7 linked regions of the Macaca fascicularis genome follow. The protein of the gene in region 6 interacts with the protein of the main gene of each other region in a pairwise test. Links are inferred from orthologs where the notes say so. Each region holds a gene or a part of one and is shown on either strand. Other genes may lie near its edges.

Evidence for each region.
Region 1: the proteins of MORN4 (region 6) and SSX2IP interact in binary tests that used the Homo sapiens proteins (3 or more experiments, as listed by UniProt). The two-hybrid records come from large-scale screens. The link is inferred for Macaca fascicularis from reciprocal best matches to the Homo sapiens genes MORN4 and SSX2IP.
Region 2: the proteins of MORN4 (region 6) and NUTM2F interact in a two-hybrid assay, tested with the Homo sapiens proteins (2 studies listed by BioGRID). The two-hybrid records come from large-scale screens. The link is inferred for Macaca fascicularis from reciprocal best matches to the Homo sapiens genes MORN4 and NUTM2F.
Region 3: the proteins of MORN4 (region 6) and NUTM1 interact in binary tests that used the Homo sapiens proteins (3 or more experiments, as listed by UniProt). The two-hybrid records come from large-scale screens. The link is inferred for Macaca fascicularis from reciprocal best matches to the Homo sapiens genes MORN4 and NUTM1.
Region 4: the proteins of MORN4 (region 6) and RANBP3 interact in a two-hybrid assay, tested with the Homo sapiens proteins (2 studies listed by BioGRID). The two-hybrid records come from large-scale screens. The link is inferred for Macaca fascicularis from reciprocal best matches to the Homo sapiens genes MORN4 and RANBP3.
Region 5: the proteins of MORN4 (region 6) and BEND3 interact in binary tests that used the Homo sapiens proteins (3 or more experiments, as listed by UniProt). The two-hybrid records come from large-scale screens. The link is inferred for Macaca fascicularis from reciprocal best matches to the Homo sapiens genes MORN4 and BEND3.
Region 7: the proteins of MORN4 (region 6) and SEPTIN6 interact in binary tests that used the Homo sapiens proteins (3 or more experiments, as listed by UniProt). The two-hybrid records come from large-scale screens. The link is inferred for Macaca fascicularis from reciprocal best matches to the Homo sapiens genes MORN4 and SEPTIN6.

Annotation. Positions count from the first base shown.
Region 1 is NC_088375.1:149,992,192-149,996,432, forward strand, and holds part of SSX2IP (afadin- and alpha-actinin-binding protein), read left to right. Parts: intron 1-2,065; coding exon 2,066-2,216; intron 2,217-4,066; coding exon 4,067-4,203; intron 4,204-4,241. UniProt on the Homo sapiens protein: Belongs to an adhesion system, which plays a role in the organization of homotypic, interneuronal and heterotypic cell-cell adherens junctions (AJs).
Region 2 is NC_088389.1:124,462,442-124,467,421, forward strand, and holds the start of NUTM2F (NUT family member 2F), read right to left. Parts: upstream 3,376-4,980; coding exon 3,311-3,375; intron 1,664-3,310; coding exon 1,506-1,663; intron 26-1,505; coding exon 1-25.
Region 3 is NC_088381.1:10,631,241-10,636,223, reverse strand, and holds the start of NUTM1 (NUT family member 1), read right to left. Parts: upstream 3,097-4,983; 5' UTR 3,047-3,096; coding exon 2,692-3,046; intron 1-2,691. UniProt on the Homo sapiens protein: Plays a role in the regulation of proliferation. Regulates TERT expression by modulating SP1 binding to TERT promoter binding sites.
Region 4 is NC_088393.1:6,705,202-6,709,442, reverse strand, and holds part of RANBP3 (ran-binding protein 3), read left to right. Parts: intron 1-2,086; coding exon 2,087-2,190; intron 2,191-2,903; coding exon 2,904-2,982; intron 2,983-3,860; coding exon 3,861-3,963; intron 3,964-4,241. UniProt on the Homo sapiens protein: Acts as a cofactor for XPO1/CRM1-mediated nuclear export, perhaps as export complex scaffolding protein. Bound to XPO1/CRM1, stabilizes the XPO1/CRM1-cargo interaction. In the absence of Ran-bound GTP prevents binding of XPO1/CRM1 to the nuclear pore complex.
Region 5 is NC_088378.1:68,134,847-68,139,532, forward strand, and holds the start of BEND3 (BEN domain-containing protein 3), read left to right. Parts: upstream 1-1,485; 5' UTR 1,486-1,872; intron 1,873-4,686. UniProt on the Homo sapiens protein: Transcriptional repressor which associates with the NoRC (nucleolar remodeling complex) complex and plays a key role in repressing rDNA transcription.
Region 6 is NC_088383.1:106,561,943-106,564,949, forward strand, and holds part of MORN4 (MORN repeat-containing protein 4), read right to left. Parts: intron 1,403-3,007; coding exon 1,288-1,402; intron 860-1,287; coding exon 750-859; intron 498-749; coding exon 349-497; 3' UTR 1-348. UniProt on the Homo sapiens protein: Plays a role in promoting axonal degeneration following neuronal injury by toxic insult or trauma.
Region 7 is NC_088395.1:125,956,308-125,960,548, forward strand, and holds the end of SEPTIN6 (septin-6), read right to left. Parts: exon of another isoform or gene 3,714-4,241; coding exon of another isoform or gene 3,646-3,713; exon of another isoform or gene 1,397-3,645; coding exon 1,158-1,396; 3' UTR 360-1,157; downstream 1-359. UniProt on the Homo sapiens protein: Filament-forming cytoskeletal GTPase. Required for normal organization of the actin cytoskeleton. Involved in cytokinesis. May play a role in HCV RNA replication.

The sequences.
Region 1 (4,241 bases), on a different chromosome or scaffold from region 6:
TTGACCTCTTATATGTAGGTAACCTTTTTATCTCAAACTCTGTCACTTCTAGTCAGTTCTTAACATTCACTAATACTTCTTAAAGGTTAGCATAGTGTCCGTTACTCCTGCAGCGTCTTCAGTTTTTGGTCCAACCTTAACGTCTCATCACCAGATTTCAGTCAGCAAAAGTATGTGGCAAATCAGGGAGATCTTTCTCCAGTGATTAAACCTTCCTCACCCCCATTACTCAGCCAGTGGGTAGTATCCTGTATAATTCTTCATAATTCAGATGTTTAAGTGGACTAACAACGATCTCTTGAATATATTTTCTAGTTTTAAAAGATCCATTTTTCTAGCTCCCTTTTCTCTTTCATTTTTGTAGGGAAAGATTTTTGAAGCATTATAGCGAGAGAAATAAGATGTAATGTTTGGAATGCCTAGGTAGCATCCAGGTTTCATTTATTATTTGACCTACTTACTTGTAGCTAAAACATATACCAAAAATTCAGGTAAAATGAGTTTGTTGTTTTGTTTTTTGGTTTTTTAGAGGCAGGGTCTTGTTGCCCAGGCTGGTCTTGAACTCCTGGGCTTAAACAGTCATCCCACTTTGGCCTTAACAAAGTATTGGGATTACAGGTGTGAGCCACTGTGCCCAGCCAAATTTTTAATTTTCATTTTGTGGTTACAGAGTTCTGTTCAATCTGAGAAATGTGCAATAATTACTCATTTTTCTTTTTTTGAGACAGAGTCTCGCTCTGTTTACAGGCTGGAGTGCAGTGGTGCCATCTTGGCTCACTGCAACCTCCACCTCCCGGGTTCAAGCGATTCTCCTGCCTCAGCCTCCTGAGTAGCTGGGACTACAGGCATGTAACACCACGCCCAGCTAATTTTTGTATTTTTAGTAGAGACAGGGTTTCACCATGTTGGCCAGGATGGTCTCGATCTCTTGATCTTGTGATCTGCCCACCTCGGCCTCCCAAAGTGCTGGGATTACATACAGGTATGAGCCACTGCGCCTGGCCAATAATTTTTCTAACAGATTCGTAGTATTCTAATAGGCTTTAAAATGTTCAGAAGACAAGTTGTGCTTCCTTGAAACAGTTACTGGCAAGTAGCTTTTGAGGATTGGAAGGGGCTAGAATCACCATGAGCCAGATCCTGGGCCATTCCCCTGTCTGCTCTGCCTCTGAATCCCTGACCTCTACTAGCCGTTGCTGACCTCAACTACTGATAGAGTTCTTCAGACTCAGTTGCTCCCTCATCCTGCTGATCTCTATGTGAGAGCAGTCGAATCAGCCCTTCTTTCTTTTCAGCTTTTGTCTTCCTTTTTACCCCAGCAAGATTTTTATTGTTCAAATTAGTGAAGCGTATCTTTCTACCTTCCTGAATATTAATGACAAATTAGAACTACTTTATGTAGATGTGGGTTATTATGACATATATCCATTTTAGTATTGTTTCCCCATGTTCTTTATCCTGCTTTGATTCTGTATGATCATATATCAGTAAAGTTTGCTACTTCTTTATGATTTCATGTTTTGGCAGAATACAAAGAAAAATATCTCCAGTTGTATACAAAAGTACATGAGGAAAATAGAATTAACAGTTGCTTCTATTAAGTACTTCAGAGATTATTTCACAAATGTGTTTCTTTAAGCAGCCTAGGGTTAGAAACAAGTTGATCTAATGTCAAATATCAGTTCTGCCTCTTAGTTGTAATGCTGCTTCTCTAAGCCTCAGTTTTCCTACATTGTAATGAGCTGAGGGTTAAATAACGTGTGAAAACATCCAACACATTAGACAGCTATTGATATCTCCTCAGACAGCTTCATGACTCTTGTCATTAACTGTATTTGGATTCAAATTCAGGTTTAGAGCGAGCTGAATTTAGGAGTCTCTGTCTTTTTCTTTTTTTTTTTTCCAAGACATTTATGTTAAATACTGGGTCATATGTGCATAAGACACAGCACAGAAATGCTTCGGATGCGGCTCCCTCTGGAAATCAAACTGAAGACTACTTGCCTGAGCATCTAAAGCCATTGTAAGGTGGTAGCCTTTCCTCTTCATCTCTCTCCACTTGTAGGTTATTTCTGATGTTGAAGAAGATGCCGGGGAACTGAGCAGAGAGAGCATGTGGGACCTTTCCTGTGAAACTGTGAGAGAGCAGCTTACAAACAGCATCAGAAAACAGTGGAGAATTTTGAAAAGTCATGTAGAAAAACTTGATAACCAAGGTAACCACTGCTTCTCTGCATGTAAAGTGAGTTGTGACATTTGGTAAGGTGTTGATTTTCAGTCACTTAGAAAGCTATATCTGTAGGCTCAGAGCTAAAGTACTATATACTTCAGTTTGGTGGTTTGAAAGCAAGATTTTGCATACATTTATTTTTTCATTTTATTTTATTTTACTTCCTGACACAGAACCTTGCTCTGTCACCCAGGCTGGAGTGTAGTGGTGCGATCTCGGCTCACTGTAACCTCCGCCTCCCAGGTTCAAGTGATTTCTCCTGCCTCAGCCTCCTGAGCAGCTAGGACTATAGGCGCGCATCACAGCCAGCTAATTTTTTGGTGTGTTTTTAGTGGAGATGGGGTTTCGCTGTGTTGGCCAGGCTCATCTTGAACTCCTGGCCTCAAGTGATTCACCTGCCTTGGCCTCTCCAAAGTGTCCAGATTACAGGTGTGAGCCACAGTGCACAGCCAAGATTTTACATACATTTAGATGTGAGGTTTGAACCTCACTGAGAAAAATACACTTTGGTCTCAGGGTGAATGTTTGAAAAGAGGACATCATGGATCCATCTGCTCTGGATGCAGTATACAATCGAATAAAGATAACTGAGCCGGGATAAAAGACTACACATTGGATATAGTGTATACTGCTTGGGTGATGGGTGCACCAAAATCTCAGAAATCACCACCAAAGATCTTATTCGTGTAACCACACACCACCTGTTCCCCCCCAAAAAAGAGAGAAAACTGAGTCTTTTTTACTGACTCTCAAAAAATCAAGAAATATTTATCATAGTATAGATAGGAACTTTTTGCTTATTTCTAGATGCTTGCAGATTACTGTGTTCCTAGTAATTCACTTAAAATTATTTTTAAAATAATAGATGTTTAATGCAAAATATTAATTTGGAAGTACATAAAGTAGAATATCCAGGTCTCCATTCCATACATATAACACTTAACAGTTGGGTGTATATTTTTCTAGACTTTCCTCTATGGATTTGCAAGATACTTATTTTTAAAATTTTTTTAAAAATTGAATGTCACCTATATTTTTGTTTAGTGTGCTTTTTTCACTTTATTATTTCAGACATTCTTTTTCCTTATACATAGCTCTACATTGATGAATATATTCTTAATATTTTCTACTTGGTAAAGTTTGCTTTTAAATTAGGAAAATGAAGATTTCTGCTCTGTAAATGAAGCCTATGTAAAGAAAAAATTTAAATTGTCAAAATATGAACTCAATGCCATTATGTTAAGTAGTAAAGAGCAATCGGCAAAATTATTATTACAACACCAAAATGAATATACTCGAGATTTTGTTCATTTGAGTCAGTGCTGTCTACTAGCAAATAGCAAGTGTGTTTGGACTTCGTGTTTGTTGAATTTAATATTTGAGAGCAAGATTTGTGACACGTCATTGATCTTTGAAGCAGTGTCAACAAAAACATAATGATTTTATTTTTCTCTTCTCTGAATATGGCCATTTTGTCTGTTTTTAATTAGGACATAATCTTGAATAAATATGGTTTACAAATTAAATCTTGGCAATAGAGCTCCATTTGTAAGCATATCATTTAGTCTTAAAATTGTACAAATATATAATTGTCATGAACTCCTGTAGTTGCTGTGCTGCTTAAAAATTTTTTATAATGTTAAAATAATATAAATGTAATTTTGTTATAGCTTATGAAATTTTAAAAAGCCAAAGGACATAACTACTTTTTAGAAAACCTATAAAATTCTAGAAAGATAAAAGTTCTGAGAGCCCTTATTTTAACGATATGTGTAGAAACACTGTAAACTAAATGGTGGCTATAAAACCTATGTCAACTTACTGATTTTGTCTTAGTTTCAAAGGTACACCTGGAAGGTTTTAATGATGAAGATGTTATCTCACGACAAGACCACGAACAAGAAACTGAAAAACTTGAGTTAGAAATTCAGCAGTGTAAAGAAATGATTAAAACTCAGCAACAGCTTTTGCAGGTGAATATGAATTACCTTGTAAAACTTGTTCTCCATGA
Region 2 (4,980 bases), on a different chromosome or scaffold from region 6:
ACGCCCGGTCCCAGCACTGGGTATGCTGTGGAGACAAAGGAAAGAGATGAATGAGCTGGGGTCTCCTGGTCCTCACTAGTCACTGGGGAATCAGAGGGGAGCCCCAACAGCTGAGGGCGTGTGACAGGGAAACTCTGCCGCTTGCAAGTGTCCCTGAGTGTGCATGAGATGCTCTGTTCCTCCACGAAAGGGTTGCTCCACTAGAGAGCCGGGCCCCGGTCACCAAGACTCCCTGACCCCTGTCTCCCAAGAAGGAACAGCCAAGCCTTCGCTGCCCGAGGGTCTCCCTCAGTGTCCCTGGCAGACCCCATCAGCATCACAGGCATCTCCCAAGCCATGGGTCAGGGATGAGTCTCTCAGCGGCTTGGTGGTCCTCAGCGTGCTCAGCAATAGGAGACAGGCCTACCCCAGGGCAGTGCTCGGCACTGAGAAGGCCGGCAGGAAGCCCGAAGCTTCCGAATATTATGGCCCTATCTCCTCTTCAGTCTTCCTTTTCCTGAAGCTCCTGTAAACTCCTTTCCTAGCTCAACACCACAAAAGAAAACCACTGGATAGGCCGGGCATGCTGGTTCATGCCTGCAATCCCAGCACTATGGGAAGTCGAGGTGGGCGGATCACCTGAGGTCAGGAGTTCAAGACCAGCCTGGCCAACATGGTGAAACCCCGTCTCTACTAAAATACAAAAATTAGCTGATGGCGCATGCCTGTAATCCCAGCTACTCAGGAGGCTGAAGCAGGAGAATTGCTTGAACCCAGGAGGCAGAGGCTGCAGTGAGCCAAGATCACGCTACTTCATTCCAGTCTGGGTGACAAAGCGAGACTCTGTCTCAAAAAAAAAAAAAAGAAAAAAGAAAACCACCGGATGGAAATCTCACCCAAGCCAGTGCCCTAGGAACCCCAAAGATAAACCATAACACATCATGCCCAGCATGCAAATGATTGTCCTGGCACCACCCACACAAGTGCCAAATGGGGGTCAGATTCCGGCCACCCGTTCCTCAGTGCTCAGTGGTCCCAGCTGCCACTCAAGAAGCTCTGTTCCCAGGGAGCATGTCTGAGAGGCAGTGGTGGAGTCCCCTGAGATACTGTCACCGCACAGCCAGCAACAGCTGCACACGATTAGAACTCAGCCAGCAACTGGTGAGCAGCAGGGCTATCAGGGGAGGTGCCCAGGGATTTTCACAGCTGCTGGTTATGTTACAATAGGTAGTGGGACAAGGAAGCATCTCTGATCCTTCTCCTTTGAGCTCCCAATAACTGAACATAGTGACCAACCAAGAACCAGGGGTTCCTGGCCCACGGGCCAGGTGAGGCAAAGTTGTCTGAAACTCATCCCTGCCCACTAGGACCCCATGCAGTCTCTAGTCAGGGGGAATAAGGGATACAGCACATGCACCTCATCATTCAGGACACATATCCTAACTTGAATAATAATAAGAGAACCATCTTCCTATTTGTGCGCTACTTTCCTTTCTCTACTGAAAAGGAAACCAGCCTTTCCAGACCCTTCCACTGAGAACCAGCAAGAATCCACACCTGCCCCCTGTTCATGAGGTAGTATACGTGGAATGGGGCAAATTCTTCATCTCCACAGTAACACAAAGTGCAGGGGACGGGCCATGAGCTAGCAGACAAGAGGAAGTGGGTCTGAAGACCTGAGCTTCTACAAAAGGGCAAACAATGCAGAACAACTCAGGAAGCCCAGGCCATGTGTTACCTGAACTTCCCCATCTGCCCCCACCCCTGTTGCATCAAAGCCAACAGCTACCTGAACTGATGGAGCAGCCAGCTCTGGGGAGGAGCTGAGAGGCTCTGGGCTGTGGCAGTTATAGTAGCCCCCAGCCTCGCCCACCCAGAGGCTGTCACTGCATACTCTGTCACAGCCAACCCACCCAACAGTTTTCTGGCTGAGATCATTTCTCCCCACTCCTCCCTCAGAGCTAGAAAACTCCAGTCCAAATCCCTCTGAACACTATGGAAGGGCACCTTCCAGGTGCCTGAAGACACAACACAGGGCTCAGGCTTGCCTGTCATCCTCCCGTGGCCACCAGTACAACATGATCCCACTACTCCCTACAAACACACAATGACGTGACCTTTCCCCCTCCAGAAAGGATCAATCCATCCACTCCATCCTTTCCCCTACACAGTGTATTCCCGCAGGCATCTTGGTCCACCTCTAAGGAGCCGTCCTCCCTAACCACAGACTCAGGGTGCCATGGCCATCCCCAGCTGTGATGTCTTTGGGGACATCCAGTGCTCCCTCCCTCTTCAACATCAGCCCTATCAGCTGTCCCCAGGGGAAGTTCAAATTTGAATTCCCAAGGAGTTGAGGCATGGCAGACTCGGATAATGCCCCCATCCCTACAGGCTCACCTCCATTTGAAGCCATCCCCTCAGGCTGGGCACTGACCACTGCTGTCTGGCAGTTTCCGCAATGAGAAAAGTCAAGGGCAGGACCCAGAGAGTGACCTGGCTCAGCAGATGCTCCTGAGTCCAAGTGGAGCAGGGAAAATTTGAATGTAAATAGCTTTGGAACATAGGACCCCAGACATTCTGCAGAGGGGGAGGGGCGGTGGGCAGCTGGGCTTGGCAAGGGTGGAGGACATTCTGTGAAGAGCTCTGGCCAGTAGGCAAGAACCTGAGTTTCCCTTCCAACTGGATGGCAGCAACACAGACGGTGTGGGCCCCTTTAGGCAACTTTTAAATTGTCCTTCTGACTCACAGTACCTGATGTCCCCTTTACTTCATTGTACCTGATGTCCCCTTTACTTCATTCTTTATCAACAGACCTACTTTTGTGCCATTCAACCCATGCTCCTTCCCACTTTGGCTCTTTCCCACTCTTGATGAATTTCAACAGGGGCTGCACTTCCCAGACAAAATTCAGAACACATTTTCAGTCTGAGAAACACAGGGGTTCTTAGGAAGGCAAGGGGACTGGGTGTTTGAAATCAGGATGGTCTCAGCCGATCCAGGCTATTAGGTGGCTGTGCGCTCATCATTGTTTACGAGGCAGTCCTTGTGCCCCCGGGTCATGTATGTTGCTGGAATCTCTGTCCACAGCAGCGGGCAGGCCTTACTTCCCATCCCCTTTCCTGGGAAGCCTCAGTCCAGGAAAGAGTGGCTATGCGACCTACAGCACCGAGACCAGAAATCCTTTCATTTTGTTTCCCAGCGTATTGTGCTGGTGTTAAATGTTTATTTTTTTATCTTTTACATGATTTTAACTCAACTAAGCAATACTTTTGCATGGTTCCAGATTCAAACTGTGTACAGTGGAATAGGCAGTGACCAGTCTTCCTCATACCTCTTTTCTCTGGCCACCACATTTTCTTTCCTGGACCAAACAGGTGTTATCTGATTCTTTTTCATCTTTCCAGAGATATATTATGCAATCAAAAGCATAATAAAGCTATTTTTGCTGTCTAAAAATATTTTGTTTTTTTGGGTAAAAATTAATATATATGTTCCAGTATTCTTGTGATACTTGCAGTGACCATGTTTGTCCCAGTAATGTGGTTCCTGTCTTTATTTCTGTAGGTAAATTGCTAGAACGAGATGTTGCTGTTTTTTAAAATTAAAAATACATGAAAGAACATAGTGGCCAGATTTAGCAAGTATGAATAAAGAATACCAAGTGGAATTTGAATTGAAGATAAACAGCGAATTCATTTTTACTATAAGTATGATCCGTATGATATTTAGAGTATACTTTTACAAAAAAAATCTGTTCTTTATCTGTGTTATTCACATTTCACTGGGATCTTGCACTTTATCTGGTAACTCTTCCCAAAAAAGTATAACATATTAGGCAATTATTGTTTTTATTTTATTTTTTATTTTATTTTTTGAGATAGAATCTCACTCTGTCGCCCAGGCTGGAGTGCAGTGGCGCAATCTTGGCTCACTGCAAGCTCTACCTCCTGGGTTCACACCATTCTCCTGCCTCAGACTCCCAAGTAGCTGGGACTACAGGCGGCCACCACCATGCCCGGCTAATTTTTTGTATTTTTAGTAGAGACGGGGTTTCACCGTGTTAGCCAGGATGAGTCTCGATCTCCTGACCCTGTGATCCGCCTGCCTCGGCCTCCCAAAGTGCTGGGATTACAGGCGTGAGCCACCACGCCCGGCCTAGGCAATTATTGTTAACTCTCCACTGTGAGAGTGAGAACTTGCAGTAAGGAGACTCAAGTGTGAATCTTGGCTGCACCGCGAAAAGATTCTGCACCACAACCATTGCAGAAAACAACAGCAGGCTGATTTGATGAGAGGAAGTCAGGAGTAGCCATTATATCCTTCTCAGCTTCCAGGTTTAGTGGCAGTATGCAGCTTTAAGGGACAGGAGGGCAGAGCACCGTCTTTTTCTTTCCGAACATAAAGCAGCTTACAATTCCTAGAACTCCGGTTTCTCCAGGAGTTAGAAATTCACTACCCATGTCCATTCTGAGACAAGCGAGGATGCTGTCCACCAATGTCCCATCCCCATTCCCATGCATCCCCTCGCACGTGTGAATCCTGGCTGGCCTCTCTCAGCTCACTGTTGGCCTCATCTTCACCACAAGTGTCATTGCATGTGGTTCTGTGTGGGAATTATTGTAGCCTGTCTTTAAAAAAAACTTCATTCTCATTTTCACACTGAGAATTGCTGCTTATCAGCGTCAAAATGACAGGAAAGAGCACTCATGTTCTGTGCTGTGAACAAGGGGAGTTTTAGGAAACTGGTCAAAGGAGATGAGGAGTACTCAGAGCACAGCAACAAAATCTGAGACACACATGTCACTCCCTGCTGGGCAGGGTAATTTTGCACTGATGGGAGGGTGTTGGGGAAGGGAAGAGGCCGTCAGCCGGACTGGTGCACACTGTGAACATTCACTGAAACACACCCTGTTGGCACTTACGAAGCATTTGCCCCTTTCGAAGACATTTGGACTTAAGAAGGCAGAGTTGCAAGAAAATGTAATGGGCCACACCACAGGG
Region 3 (4,983 bases), on a different chromosome or scaffold from region 6:
CCTGCTTCGGCCTCCTAAAGTGTTGGGATTACGGGCGTGAGCCACTGCACCCGGCCCCTCTAAGTGCTTCTCTAAGAAAATTCCTGGCAGACCTCTCCAGCCTCTCCGTAGGCTGTTTACTAAGATACAGAATTGGGTTGACACCTGCTCTGCAGGGAAAACAGCCCACAGCGGCCTCCGTGCAGTAAGGGAACTAGTCCACGGTAAGCTCCAGCCCCTCTCGAGGCATCCATAAGGCCTTTGAGAAGGAGGCACTTTCAAAAATATGACTGGCTCATTCCCTCCTCCTTTTCCTTTTCCTGTTGCTTCTTATAAATCTCTCTTAACCTAAAACAACAGAAGAAAGATTCAATCTATAAGCAGGAGCATGAGCCCATGAAGCTCAGACATCCTGTAACACATTCCACCCAGCATTCCACGTACATCCCCTATGCTCACCTATTCCAAACCAGAGACTCAAACCACCTGAACCCTGCTTCTCCCAGCTGCTCTGTGGCCTCTGCCACCACGCACAGAAGTACTGTTCCCAGGAGAGGATATGTGGATTGGATGTTTGGTTCCCAGAAATTTTGTTGTATAACAGCCAGGAATAATTAGAGAGGATTAGATAAGGACAAGGAAATGAGTGAAGGGAGGGCGGTGTGGGGAGAGAGGTTTCCAGATCTTTAAGTAACTGCTGGACGTGTTTGGCGATGCAGACTATCTGTGGCCCTTCTGCTTGGAGCTCCTAACATCAGAAATTTAGGGCTCACTAGGAACGAGGCACTGAGCTAGGTGCTAAGGACAGGACAATGAAGTCCTTCATTGTCACTGGTTCCAGCTGGGGAGGGGCTATGTGGACTCTAGTCAAAGAGACCAAGGATAAGTATACAAATGTGTACTTAATCAGAACCTATGTCTCCTAGGACTTTTTTTTTTTCCCCGAGACAGAGTCTCTGTCACCGAGGCTGGAGTGCAGTGGCGCGATTTCAGCTCACTGCAACCTCTGCTGCCTCCTGGGTTCAAGCGATTCTCCTGCCTCAGCCTCCCTAGTAGCTGGGATTACAGGCGGGCGCCAACACACCCAGCTAATTTTTGTATTTTTAGTAGAGATGGGGTTTCACCATGTTGGCCAGGCTGGTCTTGAACTCCTGACCTCAAGTGATCTACCTCCCTCGGCTTCCCAAAGTGCTGAGATTACAGGCGCTTGAGGTCAGGAGTTAGACACCAGCCTGGCCAACTTGGTGAAACCCCGTCTCTCTAAAAATACAAAAATTAGCTGGGTGTGGTGGTGGGCGCCTGTATCCCAGCTGCTCAGGAAGCTGAGGAAAGAGAATTGCTTGAACTCGGGAGGCAGACTTTGCAGTGAGCTAGCATCACACCACTGCACTCCAGCGTAAGCGACACAGTGAGACTCCATCTCAAACAAAAAAACAAAACAGGAAAACAACAGCAGAATATCACCTGCTTAAATCTCCTCCCCCTTACAAAAAATATTACACTGTCAAACTAACAACACCCAACTTCTGCATTCTGACCATGGCACACAAGCAAACTCAGATTCAAACTCATTTCAGCCACAGAGCAAAGGGCTGAGGGTATGTCGCTGAGTACAGAACACAATGAAAGGGGCCTGAAGGCCTGAGATCCATAAAAGGAAGAAAAACTAAGAGCATCTCGGTGAAGCCCCAGATCTCATCCTGGCTGTAATGACCCACCTCTCTGGCCCGGATGAATCCGGAAAAACTGCTTCCTGAACTCAAAGCGAAGCCACCTCTAGGGCTGGAAGGAGCCGTGAGGCTCTGAGCAGAGGCAGGATTTTTCTTTTTTTTTTTTTTTTGAGACCGAGTTTCGCTCTTGTTGCCTAGGCTAGAGTGCAATGACACAATCTTGGCTCACCACAACCTCTGCCTCTCAGGTTCACGGGATTCTCCTGCCTCAGCCTCCCGAGTAGCTGAGATTACAGGCATGCGCCACCATGCCCGGCTTTTTTTTTTTTTTTTTTTTTTTTTTTTTGTAGTTTTAGTAGAGATGGGGTTTCTCCATGTTGGTCAGGCTGGTCTTGAACTCCTGACCTCAGGTGATCCGCCCGCCTCGGCCTCCCAAAGTGCTGGGATTACAGGCATGAGCCACCGTGCCCGGCCAGAGTAGAGGCAGTTTATAATACATTCCAGCCTAGTTTTCAGGAAGGCATTTCTCTGCAACGGATAACTACAGATTATGTTTTCCCGCTAAAGTCCTTCCCACCTTACCCTCCCATCCTCCATCCTCCACATCCCATTCCCCTCATAGGCTCAAGCATGGCAAAATCCTAGAATAGGCTCCAGTTGCCTGAAAGAGACAGATGAATGAACGTGGGCATTCCCCCTTGAAACCTCTCGGTGCCAGTCCTAAGACACATACCTCTGATCCCCTCTCCCACCACAAGAACACACGCTGACGTGCCCCCTGTTCAAGAGAATCAAGTTGCTAATTGCCATCCATTCTCTATACTCAGCATGTGTCCTCGGAGACACCTTGATCTGCCCTTAAGGAGGTCCTCTTCCTTCCCCGGCCCCTAGTCTTAATGGTACAGTCTCCTTCTCTAGCCTCCCCAAGTGGGATACCTTTGATGGGGTGTAGCACCTCGCATTCCTTTAGGTCAGCCCAAAGAGCTTGTCCCAAAGGATTTGAGCAGGTACCAGAAATCCTCCTCACCACCTAAAGACTTACCTCCATCTGAAGCCATCCTCTCAGCTTTGGGCACTAACCGTGGCTGTCTGGAAGCCTCCAGAATGAGGCAGTCAGGTCCAGGACCCAGAGTAACCTGGCTCCAAGTAGGTGCACAGGGATCCAAGGAAGGGAAGGTAAAGATCAGATCAAACAGAACTAGAATATGGAACTCAAGGCAGTCTGCTGTGGGGGAGGGGAGAGGGGAAAGTGGGGTGAGGGTGGGGAGAGATATTCCATGAAGGGTTCTAGTAACTACGCAAAAACCAGGAATTCCCTTCAAACTACAGTTTGGCAACACAACTGATGTTCGCCCTTTAGGGCTATTTGTAAATTCTTTCTCAGATTCCCAACACATTACAGTTTTGAGTTTGGTTCCCTATACTTCAATTCTTCACCAACATATCTCATTTTGTGTCCTTCCATCCCAGCCAGTTCTGTAACTGACTTCCTATTAACAGCAGGTCGATGGTAGACCCCTGACTTAATCCAATGATGGCTATATTTTCTGAACTAAATTCAGACCACATTGGTCTGTATACTTAAGGATCAAGGGAACTAAAGTCTAAAATTAGAATTGTCAGATGATCCAAGGTGCTCAATTGCTGTGTGCACATCATTTCCTTGGAAAGCTGTCCAATCTACTAGCATAGGCTCTGTACTCCACAGAAGCCTTACCCTTTGCTGAAAAGCCTCACTAAATAAAAAAGCTGCCATGCAGTTTAAAACCTCAAGAGTAGAAAGTCCTTCGTTTTGTTAAATTATTTTGGTTTAAATTTTAAAAATAAAATGTATCTGCTAAGGTTCCTGGTGACTATTTCAGGCCAGTAATTCCCAGACCATCCTCTACAGCCACAGCTTCATCCAAACGTGGATTTCCCCCAAAAGACCTTCCCTGGGGTTCATGGCGTCTTTCTTGCTTTCTCTGAGATATCTTTTCTCTTTTCTAAAGACTCTTTCATTAATAAGACCTGAAGGCTGAAATCATCCTTTTCCTTTCTAACAAAATTAACTACTTAGACATACTTTTTTTTTTTTTTTGAGACAGAGTCTTGCTTTGTCGCCCAGGTTGGAGTGCAGTGGCATGATCTCTGCTCACTGCAAGCTCTGCCTCCCGGGTTCACACCATTCTCCTGCCTCAGCCTCCTGAGTAGCTGGGACTACAGGCGCCCGCCACCACACCCGGCTAATTTTTCTATTTTTAGTAGAGACGGGATTTCACTGTGTTAGCCAGGATGGTCTCGATCTCCTGACCTCATGATCCACCCACCTCGGCCTCCCAAAGTGCTGGGATTAGAGGTATGAGCCACCGCGCCCGGCCTTTAAAAAATTTTTAACAGGTAATACATTAGCAAGGTTCAAAAATCAAACTACAAAATAAAATACATAGCAATAAGTCTGCCTCCCACCCCTTACCCCTTTCTCCTGTAACTAGGTTCTCTATCTCAGAGGAAACCAGTATCATCTGTTTCTTGTGAATAATTGCAGAGATTTTTTATTCAACTACAAGTAAATACAAACCATATCTTTTTTTTTTTTTTTTGGGACAGGGTCTCTTGCTCTGTCACCCAAGCTGGAGACCAGTGGCGTGATCTCAGCTCACTGCAACCTCCGCCTCCCGGGTTCAAGCGATTCTCCTGCCTCAGCCTCCCGAGTAGCTGGGACTACAGGTGACCGCCAGCACGTCCCGCTAATTTTTGTATTTTTATTAGTAAAGACGGGGTTTCACCATATTGGCCAGGCTGGTCTTGAACTCCTGACCTTGTGATCCACCTGTCTCGGCCTCTCAAAGTGCTGGGATTACAGGCCTGAGCTACTGCACCCGGTCACAAACCATATTCTTTTTTTCAGACGGAGTGCCACTCTGTCACCCAGGCTGGTGTGCAGTGGCGCTATCTCAGCTCGCTGCAACCTCTGCCTTCCCGGCTCAAATGACTCTCCTGCCTCAGCCTCTGAAGTGGCTGGGACTACAGGCGCCCACCACCACACTCAGCTAATTTTTTCTGTATTTTTAGTAGAGACGGGGTTTCGCCAGATTGGCCAGGCTGGTCTCGAACTCTTGACCTTGTGATCCGCCCGCCTCAGCTTCCCAAAGTGTTGAGATTACAGGCGTGAGCCAACGCGCCCGGCCAAACCATATTCTAAAAAAAAAAAAACCTTGCAGGTTTTTCTGGTTACACAACATATATGCCAACGCTTTTGTCATTATAAATAAGGCGTAATGATGATCTTTGTAATTATATTTTGGTTCTCATTTTCATTTCTTTAAACGAATAAGGAGAACTTCTATATTCT
Region 4 (4,241 bases), on a different chromosome or scaffold from region 6:
AGGTGTTAGTGAGGCAGCCCCGTGGCTCCCGGCATAGTCAGCTGCTGGCATGCGTGTGCTGGGCCCTGGCAGTTCCCCACCAGCGGCCCAGGCTTTGGAGCCCTCACCTGCAGTGGCTTCTCAAGTCAGAGTCCCTGGTACTCATGGTAGCAGGGGACAGGGGAGGTGACTGAACCTGCGGCCTCAGGCTTTCATAGCAGAAAAGAAAGACAGCATGGTCCAGTGCTCTCAGCTCTGCCCAGAGATTTCTGTTCCCGTATTTCAGGGCTTCTCCATTTCAACACTAGCAGCATTATGGCTGGACCATTCCTGGTTTCTGAGGAGTCACCCTGGACACTGCAGGGTGCTGAGCAGCATCACTGGCCTCCACCCACCCAATGCTCCTGACATCTGACAACCACAAATGTCCCCAGACGTGGCCAGTATTCCCTGTGGGGTAGAATCGCCCCCATTAAGAACTGTCACCTTTTTTTTTTTAAGTGGGGCAGGGTGGGGTGACGACACAGTCTTCCCTCCTGAAAAGGAGCAAAGCATCTGCCACCTCTTGGCTGCCCTCCAGGCATGTGGTCCTAGTTTGGAGACTGTGGGGTGGGGAGGGGCTGGCGGTGGTTGGGAACAGTGGCCCTGGACCATGCACTGGGACTCTAGGAAGACCAGGGTCAGCCAGCAGCACCTTTCTCAGCCATAGACGTGGAATGTGCTGCAGCATCTCTAGAAACTCCACTGGCCAGAAGTTTCTTTCAGAGCCCAAGAGGCGGCATCGGTGGCTATGTCTAGAGACATTTGTGGTTGTCAAAACTGGGAGGTACTTCTGGAGGCCAGGGATGCCACTCCACCCGTCGCAGTGCCCAGGATAGCCACACCACAGGGAATGATCTGGGCCCAATGGCAATATGTCAGTAGTGTCGATGGGGAGGGCCCTCGAAATAGAAACCTCTCTAGCATGCAGAAAGGACCGGCTCACGTTTTCTGCTTTCCTTTCTGTTACTCACCGTCCAACAGAAGCCCAAGTCGAGAAGCATGGAAAGTTGATGTTGCTGTCGCCATGGCTTTAGGCAAAATAATGAGTCCCTCAGGGGCTGCTCCCTCCAAGGAGGAAAGGAGGGCAAGAGGCGGGGAAGGGCTTGGCCCGTGGAGCTCAGGCCCTGTGGAGTCTCTGCCTTGAGTCTGGGGAAACAGCTGCTTTGAATTTGGTGGGGTCGGCTTCTTGCAAAAGTCAGAGGCTTGCGTGCACTTCGCAGTCTCAGTCAAATCCCAGCCTCTCCTTCCAGGGCAAACGTGAGCCATGGATTCTTTTTTTTTCTTTGGACACAGAGCCTTGCTGTGCCATCCAGGCTGGAGTGCAGTGGCATGACCTCTGCTCACTGCAGCCTCCACCTCCGGGGTTCAGGTGATTCTTCTGCCTCAGCCTCCCAAATATCTTGGATTACAGGCACCCACTGCCACACCTAGCTAATTTTTTGTATTTTTAGTAGAGGTGGGGTTTCTCCATGTTGGCCAGGCTGGTCTCGAATTACTGACCTCAAGTGATTCCCCCCCAGCCTCAGCCTCCCAAAGTGCTGGGATTACAGGCATGAGCCACTGCGCCCAGCCAGAGCTGTGGTTTCTTAACCCTCTGAGCCTCTGCTTCCTTGTTGGTCCCTAACATCCCCCTCTCAGGCTTCATGAGGATTAAAGGAGATGGTGCATTTGACAGACTCAGCATAGCAACTGGTAGGAAAGAGGCCCTCAAGAAATGCTGTTTCTATCATGTTCATAGTAAACCCCCCAAAACACCAACTTTGTAACATTGTGTTTTCCGTACAAAGCGTTGACCGAGAGGCCAGCTTAGGTGTGGTTTTATAACGAGATGGAAAAGGCTCCTTGAAGCCTCATGAGCTCTCTTTCTGTCTTAACTGTTAAAGCAAAAGGTGGTGGAGTTGATTACAGCCCTGCCCCCCAGCACGTGCACGTGCACGTGCACACCCAGCCGGGTGCAGGAGAGGGCTCATGACTCCCGGCAGCTCCATGCAGCTCAGGGGCTCTGCAGACACCACCCCAGCCCCCACCCCACCCCCGATTACTGAGCGCTTTGTCTCATTCCCAGCTGATCAATGAGAGCGTGGACGAAGCTGACATGGAGAATGCTGGACACCCCAGCGCAGACACGCCAACCGCAACGAACTATTTCCTCCAGTATATCAGTTCCAGGTGTGTGTCTTGGGCCCAGCGGCCAGCCTAGCATGGGGATGCAGGTGGCCGCAAGGGCTTCTGCCACAGAGGGATCTGTGGTCCCCGTGCCTGACTCAGACCCACAATCCAGGTTGCTCTTGGGCCTGTCATTCCCCACTCTGGGCACAACCGTGGGTGGGCCAGGATTGTAGGCCTTGTTCTGTGATTCACTGGACGCCTGAGACAGGACCAGAGTTCTGTGGGCTTGTCCAGGGGCCCATGGAGGATACAGCCCAGCCCTTGGAGTGTGCCCTCTGTCTTGCGGACCTCATGCCCAGAGCAGAACAGAGCAGGCTAGAGGCGACTCCTTATCCTGGGTTTGGGCACCTGGGGCAAAGACCTCAGCATGCCCTTGATTGACGTGGCTGGGGGTGATGCTACCCACGGCCCAGCTGCCCCTCCAGGTATCTCAGAAGAAAGCGTGTCCCGCCTGGGAGATGGGCGGGCGGAGCAGCTGGAAGGTGGCTTCCCTCATGCTGTGGGTCCCTCCGTCAGAGCGAGCTAAGGGCTCATGTTTCCAACGGCACAGGGAGGCATGTGGCTTCCTGCCTCTGACACGCCACCCTGTGCACAGTAGGGGAGACCCCTCCACTGTGCCCTCTGCGCCAGTGTGTGCTCCGTGGGTGCCCACACATTTGCCTAGCCACATTCCCACGTGACACCCCCACACTCACTGCACATCTTCTCTTCAGTTTAGAGAACTCAACCAATAGTGCCGACGCCTCCAGCAACAAATTTGTATTTGGCCAGAACATGAGCGAGCGAGTTTTGGTGAGTGGCCGTGTTGGGAATGTTCTTGGGGACCAGAGGTGCTCGGCACCAGCCCCAGATCGAGGGGACATGGAGAGCGGGGCTGCTGTGTTGTCCCTTGTGAGATGGGGATGGCTTCAGTAACAAGTGAGAGAGGGAAGACCCTGCTCAGACTTGGAGTGAAAACTGGCCGGGGCCACTGGCCGCCCAGGAGCTGGCATTCGCTCTTCCCAGCTCCTCCCTGCTGACCAGGGCCAGCTTCATCCCAAGATGGGCTTCCCCAGAGGCTGCAGGGCCCTGCTGGCAGTCAGAGTCCACGGTTCCTCTCCACCAGGCCAACTGACAAAAGTCGTGTGGGACAGGGCTGCCGGCCTCCCTGCTCCTGTGAGCATAACCGCGGCCAAGGCTTTGAGTGCAAGAAAGGCCCGTCTCCGTTCCCAGGAGCCCAGCCAGCCTGGGAGAGGGTTCTAGAATGGCTTGCCTACCTCTTTACATGTGTTCCTTTTCCTTCCTGATTCCACCCAGCTCCACTGTGACTGCGTGAGGGCCTGTCCTGAGCTGCCTGGTCACTCTAGCTGTCTTGAGTTATGCTGCATTAAGGACTCTGCAGCTTCTCTTCCTTTATGGCCACGCTGCCTTTTTTCTATTTCAATGAAATAGTCAAAGTCTTGCCTCACCCAAACGGAGTGTCCAGTGTGGTCCGAGGGGACTGTCGACTGGTGGCACTCACCCCCTGCTGATGCCTGAGGGACCACGTGGGGAGCTCCCAGGCAGTTCAGGGTGTCACCAGGAGCGGGCAGGAGTGCTGGGGGCAGCATGGTGTTGGGGGCCAGGCAGAGAGGTGCTCAGAGCTGCAGCTGAAGGACCGCACAAGCTCCCTCTTCCTTGTATGCCTGCAGAGCCCCCCAAAATTAAACGAGGTCAGTTCAGATGCCAACAGGGAAAATGCAGCTGTCGAGTCAGGGTCTGAGTCCTCGTCCCAGGAGGCCACCCCTGAGAAAGGTATGTTACCGTCTCGCCGCTGCATGGGGCTCATGGTAGGTCATCTTGGGGGATGATGAGGGGATGCTGGGTCCATTCACACCCCCAGCCGGGAGGGATAAGGGGCCCAACTCCCGCAGCAGTAACGACCACACGTCAACCAGCTACTAAGCCAGGGCCGTGACCTCCAGGGTCCTGCCTTGCAGTGAGCAGAGACAGGGGTTTATGATAAGACTGTTACTCGAGGGGCTGTGTCGCCTTGTGGCTGTGGGGAGGGTGGGGAGGCGCAGACAGCAGGC
Region 5 (4,686 bases), on a different chromosome or scaffold from region 6:
TATAAATTAACCATTCTCCCCTAAGCGGTCCTCCTCCCTGCCTCCCTCCGCCCTATTTTAAATGTAGATAGGGCGACCTAAGTCTTTTGAATTTGAAGGGCTGCTATCTCGGCCCCATTCTTTTCATCATCCTGTTTTGAATGACACTGAGCACGTATAGATTCTTCTATAAAAGCACCCCCTGGATGCAGGGCTTGGTTTTTCAGACTGCTGGCTTAATTTTGCATAGCAATTAGTACTGACTTCTCTAAACCAGCAATCCAAATACAACTCGAGAATGTTCCACGTAGTTCCTCAAACTTAACCCTGTGCCTTTTGATTTCAAGCCCGAAGGGGAGGAACTTGCATAATTACTAAATTCCCAATTGGAGTGGTCAGGAGGAGGGTACGGTAATCCCAAACTATACGTTAATTCAAACCCTCGCCGCGACTGGGCAGCAAGGAGCCAACATATGCCTTCTTTAAAAAATCTATTCTACCTATTCACTGCCCGCGCAGGGCCGTGCCACATGGTCCTCCCTTGCAACCAGTCAGCTGTGAGCAGCAGATGGGATCATTTGCATTTTTCTTTTTATACTTTCTTTGATCGGCAAATTAAAGGATTTTTCTTAAATTTACATCCTCATTGTTTGCCTAAAATACAAACGTGGCTAAACTGTTGAATTGGGCTTCCCTGACTCTCACCCAACACCTCCCCCTCCCCCCACCCAGCCACTGAGACTTGAGAAAATACCCGAAGGGTAGATTTCATATTTTATCAACTGGGAATCTACAGTCCAAGAGTTAGGAGTAGACAGAATGAGCCTTTATTGAGTTGGTGACTCGTGTTTTTCTATTTTAGGCGCTCGGCGCAGACAGCCCGTGGGTTTGTGTTTGTGGGGTGTGTGTCTGTGAGCGCGGGCGCTTCCGAAGCTCTCGCTCCGCAGCCTCACCCCCCAGAACTTCGGGTTGCAAGTAGCAGGCAAGATTTTAGCTCCCAGGCTCACAACAGAGGGCGGCCACCGTGCAGGGGGAGTGGCCAGAGCCAGCTTTTCCCAGCGCCAGGGTCGCTCTCCCGCGTCCCGCCGGACTCCATGCCGCCCCGCGGGGCCGCAGAAGCCACCCAGGCCCTCGCACCCCAAGGTCTTTGTGCCGGTCGCGGCGCGGGAAGACCGGCTTCGGGGGCCTGGGCTGCGGCCCAAAAGCCAAAAATGCGGGAGAGGCGTGGGCGCGAGGCGGGAGAAGCTCCGCACAGTCGCCGTCCCGCAAGGGGCAAAAAAGTAGAAAAAGAGGCGTTTGGGGCCAAACTCTCGGGTCTGAGAAACCACGTTTCCGAGGACGGACTCGCGGTGGGAGGACATAGGGGGTACAAGGGACATCGTTCGCGGCGCCCGCCCGCCGCGCCGTGGGTGCCCGGCCGCCGCCCCCGCCCCCGCCCCGGGCAGCCAGCGTGGGCCCACGTGGAGCGACTGCGCCCGCCGAGCTCGCCTGGCCGCCTGGGTCCCCGGAGTGCGCGCCCGAGCTCCCCGCCGCGGCCGTTCACGACCGAGCGCCGCCGCCGCCGGTCCCGCGTGTGCCCCGCTGAGGGGGAGGGGCGGGCCGGGGGTGGGGGCGGAGGGGTTGTGGTTCCACTGCAGCGGGGGCTCCTGTGTCCTTGTGCGGAAATGACACACGGAGTCCCGTCACGTCACGCGAGAGCGCAGCGCACGGACACACACAAAGAGAGGGGAAAATACACGGCGCTCGCCCGCCCGCCGCCCCCAGCGCCTCCCCGGGCCGCCCCGGCCAGGCCCTCCGCGCGCGGCCCCCACTCCCCGGCCCCGCGCCCTCCCCCCACGTGGCGCCCAAACTCGGCGCGGGCCCGCCCGGCAAAGTACAGAACTCGCGTCCCAGGTAAGTGCGGGGCGGATCAAGCCGGCCGCGCGGCGGCGGCAGCGTTGGCGGCTCCGGGGCGAGCAGCCGGGAGAGTGGCTGCAACATCCATGCCGGGGTGGGGGCGGGAGCAGGGGAGGGGACGCGGAGGGGGGCTGCTCGAAGCGCGCCTGCCGGTAGTAGCGCCCACCCCCGCGCGGGCCGAGCCACCGGAGCGGGCGCTGGGCGCCCACGGGCTCGCCGCGCCCATTGTGCTGCGCGCCCCTTTGTGCCCGCTCGGAACGCGGCGACTCCATGGCGTTCCGGGGAGCACGCGCGCCGCGCGGGGACGGGGGGTTCGCGCGGTGGAACCGTCCGCGCCGCCGCCGCCGCCCGCCCCACTCGCGCCGCGCGCCGGCCCCGCACCCCCGCCGGGCGCCGCGATGGAGCGGCCGGGGCGGCCGGAAGGCTCTGCCGGGCTCGCGGCAGCTTGGCGCTGGCGCTCGGCGGGGCTGTGGCGGGGCACTGCTCGGCGTGTGGAAGCGGGTGTCGGAGCTGGAGCAGGGGGCGGGGACTGGAGGGAGATGCCGGGCGGCGAGCGGGAGGCCGGGGGAGCCGCCGCTCGGAGGAACCAAGCCTACGGAGGCTGCAAATGGAGTGAGGCCGGCCCGCGGCGGCGGCGGCCGGGAGCGGAGAGGGATGGGCCCCGCCGCCAGGGGGCGCAGCGCTCCCTTCCCGGCCGTTCCACGGCGGTTCGCGGTTCCCGCTGCCCGGGAGCTGGAGGCGGGCCCGGCGCCTTGGGTGTGCACCCGGGCTGGCGCGAGGCCTGGCCGGCCGGCAGCAAAGCTAAAGCCTGGGGCGCTCGTGGCTCCTCGTGACCGCCCCTTTCCCTTTATGATAAACGTGGTTTCCCACGCATGCTTTGCCCTCGTCTTATCCGTGAGGTGTGTACCACCGATTTGGAGGCCCTTGTGTGCTTGTGTACCTACGTCTCCCTATGTAGATATTTTAAACGATATTTTTACAGAGATAAAAGTTTTATTGATTGCTCAGGTGGTCTACCTGGAAGAATTCTGCGCGTAAAGGCTAACTCGACAAGAGTGCCGGGAGGAACAAGGTTACTTACTAGAGTTGGAAATGTGCAATTCATCTCCTTAAAGTAACTTTTGAATGGTTAAATGCAAATATTAAACATGCCACAGGGCACCGTGGCATAGTGCCAGAAAGCTACGGTTTCAGGAAACTGAGGTAAGGAAGTGAGTCCTTCAGGCTAGCCAGGTATATAAACGGCCGGGACGGAGGACGTGCTGTTGTTACCCGCTCCCCACTTCCACACTTGAAGTCCGTTTTTCTCTTTTTTTAAAACCATTCATCCTTAGATTTTGGCTTTATACCACAAGAGCCTGTCAAGCTTCCCTCGGTACTGGGACTTGGGCAAGATTTTTTAATCTCCCTCACAGTTTCACATCCCCATCCTCTTACCCAGTGTCTCATAACTTAGTAGACGCTCAGTGCATATTTCCTAAATGAATGGAGAGAGCCTCTTGGATTCTAGAAGAAAGATGGAGCCAGAGCAGCCAGTTGCTGCTGGGTTAGCTGGTGTCTGTGTGGCCCTTGAAATCTGTCACAAAAATCTCCTGTCATGGAAAATGAGTTTTTGTTTGTTTGTTTGTTTTTGAGACGGAGTCTCGCTCTGTCACCCGGGCTGGAGTGCAGTGGCTCCATCCTGGCTCACTGCAAGCTCCACCTCCAGGGTTCAAGCGATTTTCCTGCCTCAGCCTCCCGAGTAGCTGGGATTACAGGCCATGTGTCACCATGCCTTGCTAATTTTTATATTTGTAGTAGAGACGGAGCTTCACCATGTTGCCCAGGCTAGTTTCCCGACCTCAGGTGATCTGCCTGCCTGACCTCCCAAAGTGTTGGGATCACAGGCATCAGCCACCGTGCCCGGCGGGAACATGGTTTTTTGTTTTTGTTTTTTTTGAGACGAGTCTCGCCCTGTCGCCAGGCTGGAATGCAGTGGTGTGATCTTGGCTCACTGCAACCTCCACTTCCGAGGTTCAAGGGATTCTCCTGCCACAGCCTCCCGAGTAGCTGGGACTACAGGCGTGTGCCACCATGCCTGGCTAATTTTTTGTATTTTTGATAGAGACGGGGTTTCACCGTGTTAGCCAGGATAGTCTCGATCTCCTGACCTCATGATCTGCTCGCCTCGGCCTCCCAACGTGTTGGGATTACAGGCGTGAGCCACCTCGCCAGCTTTTTTTTTTTCCCTTGAGACAGAGTTTCGCACCTGTTGCCCAGGCTGACGTGTAATGGCCCGATCTTGGCTCACCGCAACTTATGCCTCCTGGGTTCAAGTGATTCTCCTGCCTCAGCCTCCCAAGTAACTGGGATTACAGGCACCCACCACCACGCCGGGCTAGTTTTATAGTTTTAGTAGAGACGGGTTTTCTCCATATTGGTCAGGCTGGTCTCGAACTCCTGATCTCAGGTCATTCACCAGCCTTAGCCTTCCAAAGTGCTGGGATTACAGCCACCGCGCCCAGCCTTTTTTTTTTTCTTTTTGTTACCAGCGATGCCATCTTCTTGCTGAAGAACTAATATAACAAAGTTTTATGTGATTCCACCCACCTTCCCCATGCCCAGCAAGTTAGGAACTGGCAGACGAGACAGTCAGCATCCCAACAATTAAAAGGTGCCGTATTGACACATTTTCTTTACATCCTCTCCCTTTGGGTACTTTCTTGGCTCCTAAGCACCCCTGTGTGAGCAAAAGCATAGCAGAATGTCCAATAATTACACAGAGAAAAATTGGAGTGAGTCCTGACGCAGGATTGATTAGGTGAAAATATC
Region 6 (3,007 bases):
GTATCACTTGGCAGAAAATGAAGCAGAAGGGTCACAGCAGGCTGCACTGGGTAACCCGAGGTCTTAGGAACAGAGTATCAACAGTGAGAAGAGGCGGTTCCTCTGTCCTCCAGCACACAAGGGTCAGGGAAAGACAGAACTACCAATGACTGAGCAGCGTCCGCTGGCCAGCATCCTCAGCACTTTTCTGCGGTCCAGTTCTGGAATGGCAGGTGACAGGGCACATACAAGACCTCTGCTCCACTGTCATTGTCAACTCATCTCAGCTCTGGTTCATTTGTTCACCTCGAGTCAACAAGGGGCGCACTGGCTTTACCCAATACTTGTCAGCTGGTGCCCACCGCGCTGTCAGGCAGTGAGATTTCTGGCTGACTTGGAGGCGCTCTGGGCCCGCTGAACGACGGCAGAACACTTCTCACGCCGCAGCAGCTTGTTGTTCTCAAAGAGACCTTCATTGCGGGGGATTCCATGAGAACCATCGGGGAAAGTCAGCAGGCCTTGAGGAGGGCAGAGAAAACATGGGAGTAACAATGGCGTTAATGCCTCAAAGGTGAGCTCGATATGTTGAGGCTGAAGAAGAGAAAAACTCGCAGCTCTACTCAGGAGCACTCTATTGGTGAGTTCAATGGATAGGCGTCAGGGATGGCCGCTATGGATTGCTGGACCCCCGCAGGATTAAAACGAAACAGGTATATTTCCACCCATATTATGCCCACCTAAGTCACCCACCCTGCTGGGCTGCAACTTACCAAAACCATCTACTCTGCCATTTTTAAATTCCCCCTCAAACGTCATGTTGTCGTATCGAATGAAGACTCCGACGCCATTAAACTTGCCCTGGGCAAACTCCCCCTCATACCTGCAGAAACACCAGAAGTTAGCCTTCAGTGGGAAGTTAGCTGTCCAGATTAATGGAGTTGAGCAGCTGCGGATCTCTGTTATTTAATAATGCCAAGAAGCAAGCCGATTCCACCTGTCACATAGCTCCATCTACCCCATCTAGTCCCAGCCAGCAGAGAAGGATCAGAGTATATATGCCATGAAGCCCTGATCTCAACGAAAGAAGATAGGATGGGAATGGGAGTGGGGTGGAAAGTCACTCACTTGGTTGACATTTCAAATTTTAGGTCCACTTAAAAAATAACCAATAAAAGGACTACTTAGTCCTCATCTGTGTTCTGCAGGGAGTGAGACAAGCTCAGGATTGACCAGATATTTACCAGTGTCCCATTTTTATGTCAGACCCTCCCTTATTTAAGGCTAAGAAAGGAATGACCTCATACCCACCTTGAACCATCTGAGAAGGTCAATACCCCAAAGCCATTAAAGAGCCCATTCTCAAAATGACCCAGGTAGGTGCCACCATCTGCAAACATCAGTTGACCAAAACCATGCCTGCGGCCTGAACAAAGAGAAGGACAGGTGTCAGGTTGGAAGGAGGCAGTTTCAGGGTCCCTTCTTACTCTTCTAGCATCCCTTACCTGCCATCACCCTACCCACAAAGAAAACAAGAGAAGCAGTGACATTAGCAGGGCAGAGGATTATTAGCCAGAGTCAGGCACTGGGAAAACCTGGCTCCTGGGGCCTTCCCATCTTATCACTACAGATTACAGCAAGTCTACCCAAGTATGAATAAGAGAGCACTTAAAAATAACAACAGCTGGCCAGGCGCAGTAGCTCATGCCTGTAGTGCCAGCATTTTGGGAGGCCAAGGTGGGTGGATCATGAGGTCAAGAGATCAAGACAGTCTGGCCACCATGGTGAAACCTCGTCTCTACTAAAAATATAAAAATTAGCTGGGTGCAGTGGCGCGTGCCTGTAGTCCCAGCTAGTCGGCAGGCTGAGGCAGGAGAATCACTTGAACCCGGGAGGCGGAGGTTGCAGTGAGTCGAGATCGGGCTACCGCACTCCAGCCTGGGCAACAAGAGCGAGACTCTGTCTCAAAAAAACAAATAATAGCTGGCTGGGTGCAGTGGCTCACGCCTGTAATTCTAGCACTTTGGGAGGCCGAGGAGGCAGGTGGATCACCTGTGGTCAGGAGTTCAAGACCAGCCTGGCTAACATGGTGAAACCCTGTTTCTATTAAAACAACAAAAAATTAGCTGGGCATGGTGGTGGTGTTGTGCTCCTGTAACCCAGCTACTCAGGAGGCTGAGGCAGGAGAATCCCTTGAACACAGGAGGCGGAGGTTACAGTGGGCCGAGATCATGCCATTGAACTCCAGCTTGGGCAACACGTCTCAAAAAAATAAATAAGTAAATAACAATAGCTAACATCTATATTTATAGTGCCTTTACTATGTGCCAGCCTCTCTTCTTTTTTTTTTTTTTTTTTGAGACAGAGTCTCGCTCTGTCACCCAGGCTGGAGTGCAGTGGTGCGATTTTGGCTCACTGCAACCTCCGCCTCCTGGGTTTAAGTGTTTCTCCTGCCTCAGCCTCCCCAGTAGCTGGGATTACAAAGTGTTGGGATTACAGGTGTGAGCCACTGTGCCTGCCCTAAATTACTGAGTCTTGAGAAATTGTACAGGTGTGATGTGACCTTGCCTCCTTCAATCCCACACCTTTCTTCCTGGTTTTCAAATACCTGGTGTCCCCTCTAATGTGGCCTGTTAGAGGAGAGACTTTCTGAGGCTCTACTGGGTGGGCTGTATCCACCACAAGAACTCCCCTGAATTCTGTTTGAAAGGCATGATTACTCCTGCAACATCTTGCTCTGTTTTCTGGTCAGTTCAGAGAGTAAGCACAGCCCCACTGACGTAACGAAGCTCAAACCAGTGCTGCCAATCAGGCTGTTAGATTTGCCCAGCAGCTTTAAGGTGCTAATGGGGTACTGGTTTTTTTTTCCTCAGAGAGGCAGTGTAGTTAGATGTTGAGGACACTGAGTCAGGCTGCCTGCTGTGTTTGCCTTCTTTTTCTACCACTTAGAGTTCTGTGATCTTGAGTAAGTTACTTAGCTTCTCCTTGCCTCAATTTCCCCATCTGTTAAATGGGAATAATAATAGTATGT
Region 7 (4,241 bases), on a different chromosome or scaffold from region 6:
TTTCCTGCCAGAATTAAAACTCACCTGAATCTTGTTCCGTAGGCTCTGGCACTCTACTTTCTCCATCTAATATACTAGATGATAATCAGCTCAACTTAGTTAAATCCATGCTAATAAAGAAAAAGTAGAGGACTTCCTGCACACCTCCACCCCAGGTGGTGGGAATTTCAGGCCCAGATGGAAGAAAGTTAGAGGGGGCGGGCACAGGGGATGGCAACCCACCTAGGAAGATTTCATAGGCTGACGGTGCCTCCCTGAGCCCTTCAAATCACCCATTCAGAAGGCAGCCACCCACTCCTCCTCAGGCAAACCGTGGTGGGCCGCATCACCCAGTGACTTAAGATCAGACCACACAGCCATTCAGCATTTCTTTGAATTTTATTGAAAATTGACATGGACATTAGAAAGGTAGTAAGCTAAACAGTGCTGGTTCTGGGATGTTTCTCCTGGAGAATGAAAGCCCCAGAGGGGCAGTGACTGGTCACACCTTTGAGCAAAAAGAACAAAGGAGAAGAAAGGAAAAGCACACACAGATTCTGGAAAACATGCAAAGAGGCTCTCTCAAGAGACACTGAACAGCAGAATGGTGGTGATGATGGTAGGGATCTATGAGAATGAGCACACTCACATGGTATTTTGATGCAAGTTAAACCAATGAATTCAAGGCAGATTTACCAACATCAAAGCTCTCCCTCCAGATCCCAGGTTGAGCAGAAACCTCTCTCAAAACCCCAACTGGTCTCAGAAGGTGGAATGGAGTAATTTTGCCCTCACTAAGCTTAAACCCCCTCCCTTCTCTCCCTTCTCTCCCTTCTCCACCTGAGTGTTAGATAGTGGACACATTTTTCCCCTTTGCTGGAATCTATAGAAGGTCTGTAAATGCTGAAGAAGATAAAAATGTCACTTGACTTTCTCTTCCATATTCAGAAATATTTTAACAGTGGCCGTAGACAGTCAACCCATCGAACCAGAGAAATGTTTAAAAGAAAAACACAAAACGCAAACAAAACCTTGTGAACAGAACAGTACTTCCACACCCACAGCTGAAGTGTCCTGCCCCAGTCACTTACACTTGGGTGAGTGGTCCTGTAGTTGTTTCTCTGAGGTTACATTTGGTCCATTTTCCAGCTCTGATGGTTCTTTTCCTGCCTTGTTAGTTAGGACAAGACACTTCCATTTAAAATACCATGTGAGTCGGGAAGAGAGCTTCTTGCCTGGACACAGGGACACATGAACACTTGTTGGGTGGTGTGGCGTATGTGTGTGTGCTTGCAGTTTGAGGGGAGAGGGAATTGGTTGATTTCTGATTTGAGACAATATGGAACCCTAACTCTTCTATAATGGCAGTCTTCTCCTTTAGACTTAGTGCAGCTGCTGAAGACAAGATTAAAAAAAGCTGGAGAGGGAGAGAGAAAGAGAAAGAAAACATGAGATTAGCCAAAGAAAGAGGACATTCAAAGTAAGACAGGGGGAGGGGAATGGGCAGTACTGAGGTAGCACAGATTATAGTTTGAGAAGACAGGTTAGAAATGGGGGTCACTGTTGGGCCATCACCACAGGGAAATCTGCTGAGAAGGTTTTAAGAACACCACACACCAGTTTAAAGCTTCTTGTTTTAATTAAAAACAAGCACATTATTAACAGCCACATGTGAATGCCAAATGATTAAAACATAAAAACAAAAACAAGAGCCATCTACACTGCAGCTAGGGAAAGCAAACTTCTTGGCTTAGGAGAAGTGAGGGATGTGTGTACGTGTGTGTGTGTGTGTGTGTATTTCAGAAAAGCCACTCCAGTCTGGGAAAATAAAAGCACAGACCATTGCTAATGACTGGTTTTGTTTCACCAGAAGTAAACAGAGTACTTAGGGTATTTTTTTTTTAAATAGTAACAGTTGTACTAATTTTTTGTTGTTGTTGTTGAGACGGAGTCTCACTCTGTCGCCCAGGCTGGAGTGCAGTGGCCGGATCTCAGCTCACTGCAAGCTCCGCCTCCTGGGTTTACGCCATTCTCCTGCCTCAGCCTCCAGAGTAGCTGGGATTACAGGCGCCCACCACCTCACCTGGCTAGTTTTTTTGTATTTTTTTAGTAGAGATGGGGTTTCACTGTGTTAGCCAGAATGGTCTCGATCTCCTGACCTCGTGATCCGCCCCTCTCGGCCTCCCAAAGTGCTGGGATTACAGGCTTGAGCCACCGCGCCCGGCCTAGTTGTACTAATTAAAACACCTTTTCATTGAAGAAGGAAAAAATCTTTCTGTCTACAGTGAATAAAGCCACCCAATGAAATACCCATTTTAATGGGCTTGATCAACTTTTTATGTTCACTCATGGGTTTGATTTTTGTTTACCAAACTTCCCTGATTATAATGGTCACCTAGGGCACCTGTTACACACAGTCTCCTGGACCCCGTTCCAGCCTTGCAGCATCACTGGGTTAAGGAGCTGGCCCAGCATGCCTTCATTTTGCCAGCCCTCACCCAATCCATCTTCAGATGTTTTTCTGTGGGAAAAAACCTCGAGGGTCTTCTAATACTAACTATTCAGTTACTCTGAACATCAAAAGGCCTCGTATCCAGGAACGTATATAAACAGACTGAATCCCTTTGTGAAATGGATTGGGAGTCAGGAGGCATGAAAATTAGTCTGGCTTCTGCCTGGAAACAGCACTGGGACCTTGCTCAAGTCCCTTCCCTTCTCTGGGCCTTCATTTCCCCTTACGGAGTAACTAGGTTATATCGTCTTACTGACTAAAATGTCTCCCTTAATATAAAACTCCTCTTTAGTTTCTGAAGGTCTCTCCAAGGCTGTGTGGGTCTAATACTTTCGAAGTATTCAGAGCTTCTCAAGCCTTAAGTAGTTAATCTGTACAGAAATGCAAATGAGGGCGCCTCCGGTTTGTAATGCAAATAATTACCGGGCGGCGGGGTCAGGGGTGGTAATTACCAGTTGGTTTTTTAAGCGTGAATTTCTGGGAAAGCAGCTCTGAAGCTGGACATAGAATCATCAAAGTTGCAAATACGAAGCCTTTCCCAGGGAGACCTGACAGGCCTAACTCAGCATCTCTCTGAGCTACTGGCTGAGTATCTGAGCAGATTTTTTGTTGTTGTTGTTGGTTTGTTTCTACCTCCAAGCATATGGTCTTCAAAACAATACTCCACCGTAACTTGAATTTTCCCAAGAAACTGGCTTGTGCTTTGGCAGCATCACCTTTATACTTGCTCTGGTCACTCACCAATCAGTAGAGCACCAGACGGTACACAGCAAACCTACACTTTTGCTTTGCCAACAAAAAAAAGGAAGTACGTGCATATGTTTGCTTTTCATTTTTTTCTTTTTGCTTCCTACTATGATCTATAATCGAAGCGAGAAATCCCCTTCCCCTTCTCAATACTTCAAAAAGGCCTGGAAATTTGGCATAACCTTGTTTGACTGTGTGCTTTGAAAGTAAGTGATCAAAAAAAGAAACTCTAAAAAAAAAAAAAAAAATAGAAGGTGGTCATGGTCAGTGCCAGTGGGGCTGGGAGGCAGGAGCAAGTTGCGGAACTCAAAAAGAGGTGAGCTTGAAGTACATGGCAGGGTAGGGGTGGGGGGCCTGGCTGCCTGGCACCCCAAAGGAAAGCTGTCAGTTAAAATAGAAACCTCGGCTTAAAAGGCTAAATGGAGTCCAGTCCAGCTGTAGCGGGGAATACTATTCAGTACACAGCCATGGATTACTGCAAAGGAAGGGCAGAGAGACGGCACGTTAGCCACAGATCATTGCCAGGTCAACTCCCTCTCTCACACTGTCACTGGCCAAACACCAAAGGCCACTGTGCCTCATAACCCTAACAAGGGAGGGCTCTCTACTTCACAGAGGTTCCCAAAGCCACTATCAGATGGGACCCATGATAAAAACTAGGGCTGGAATATTTTTAAACTCTCAACTCCTTAAATTGGAAAGCAAGTCAAGGGCCTTCCAAGGCGTAACACCTCTTTTCTTCTCTCCAGCCGATAGTCTCATCTCTTCTTATTGAGGGATGCATGCAAAATGCATGTTAAAAATCATCATGACGTTCACCAAATGAACTACAAGACTCATCAGAGCAAACCCCCAAACACTTGATTCTTTTGACAGCTCAGTTTTCCAGTCTACAAAGTGGGATTTATTATTCCTGCTACTGGCCTCACCCTACTGGGACAGTGTGGAGCCCTTCCGGAAATTACCCCTGAGATGCTGAAATACCTCACAAGAAGAACTCAGT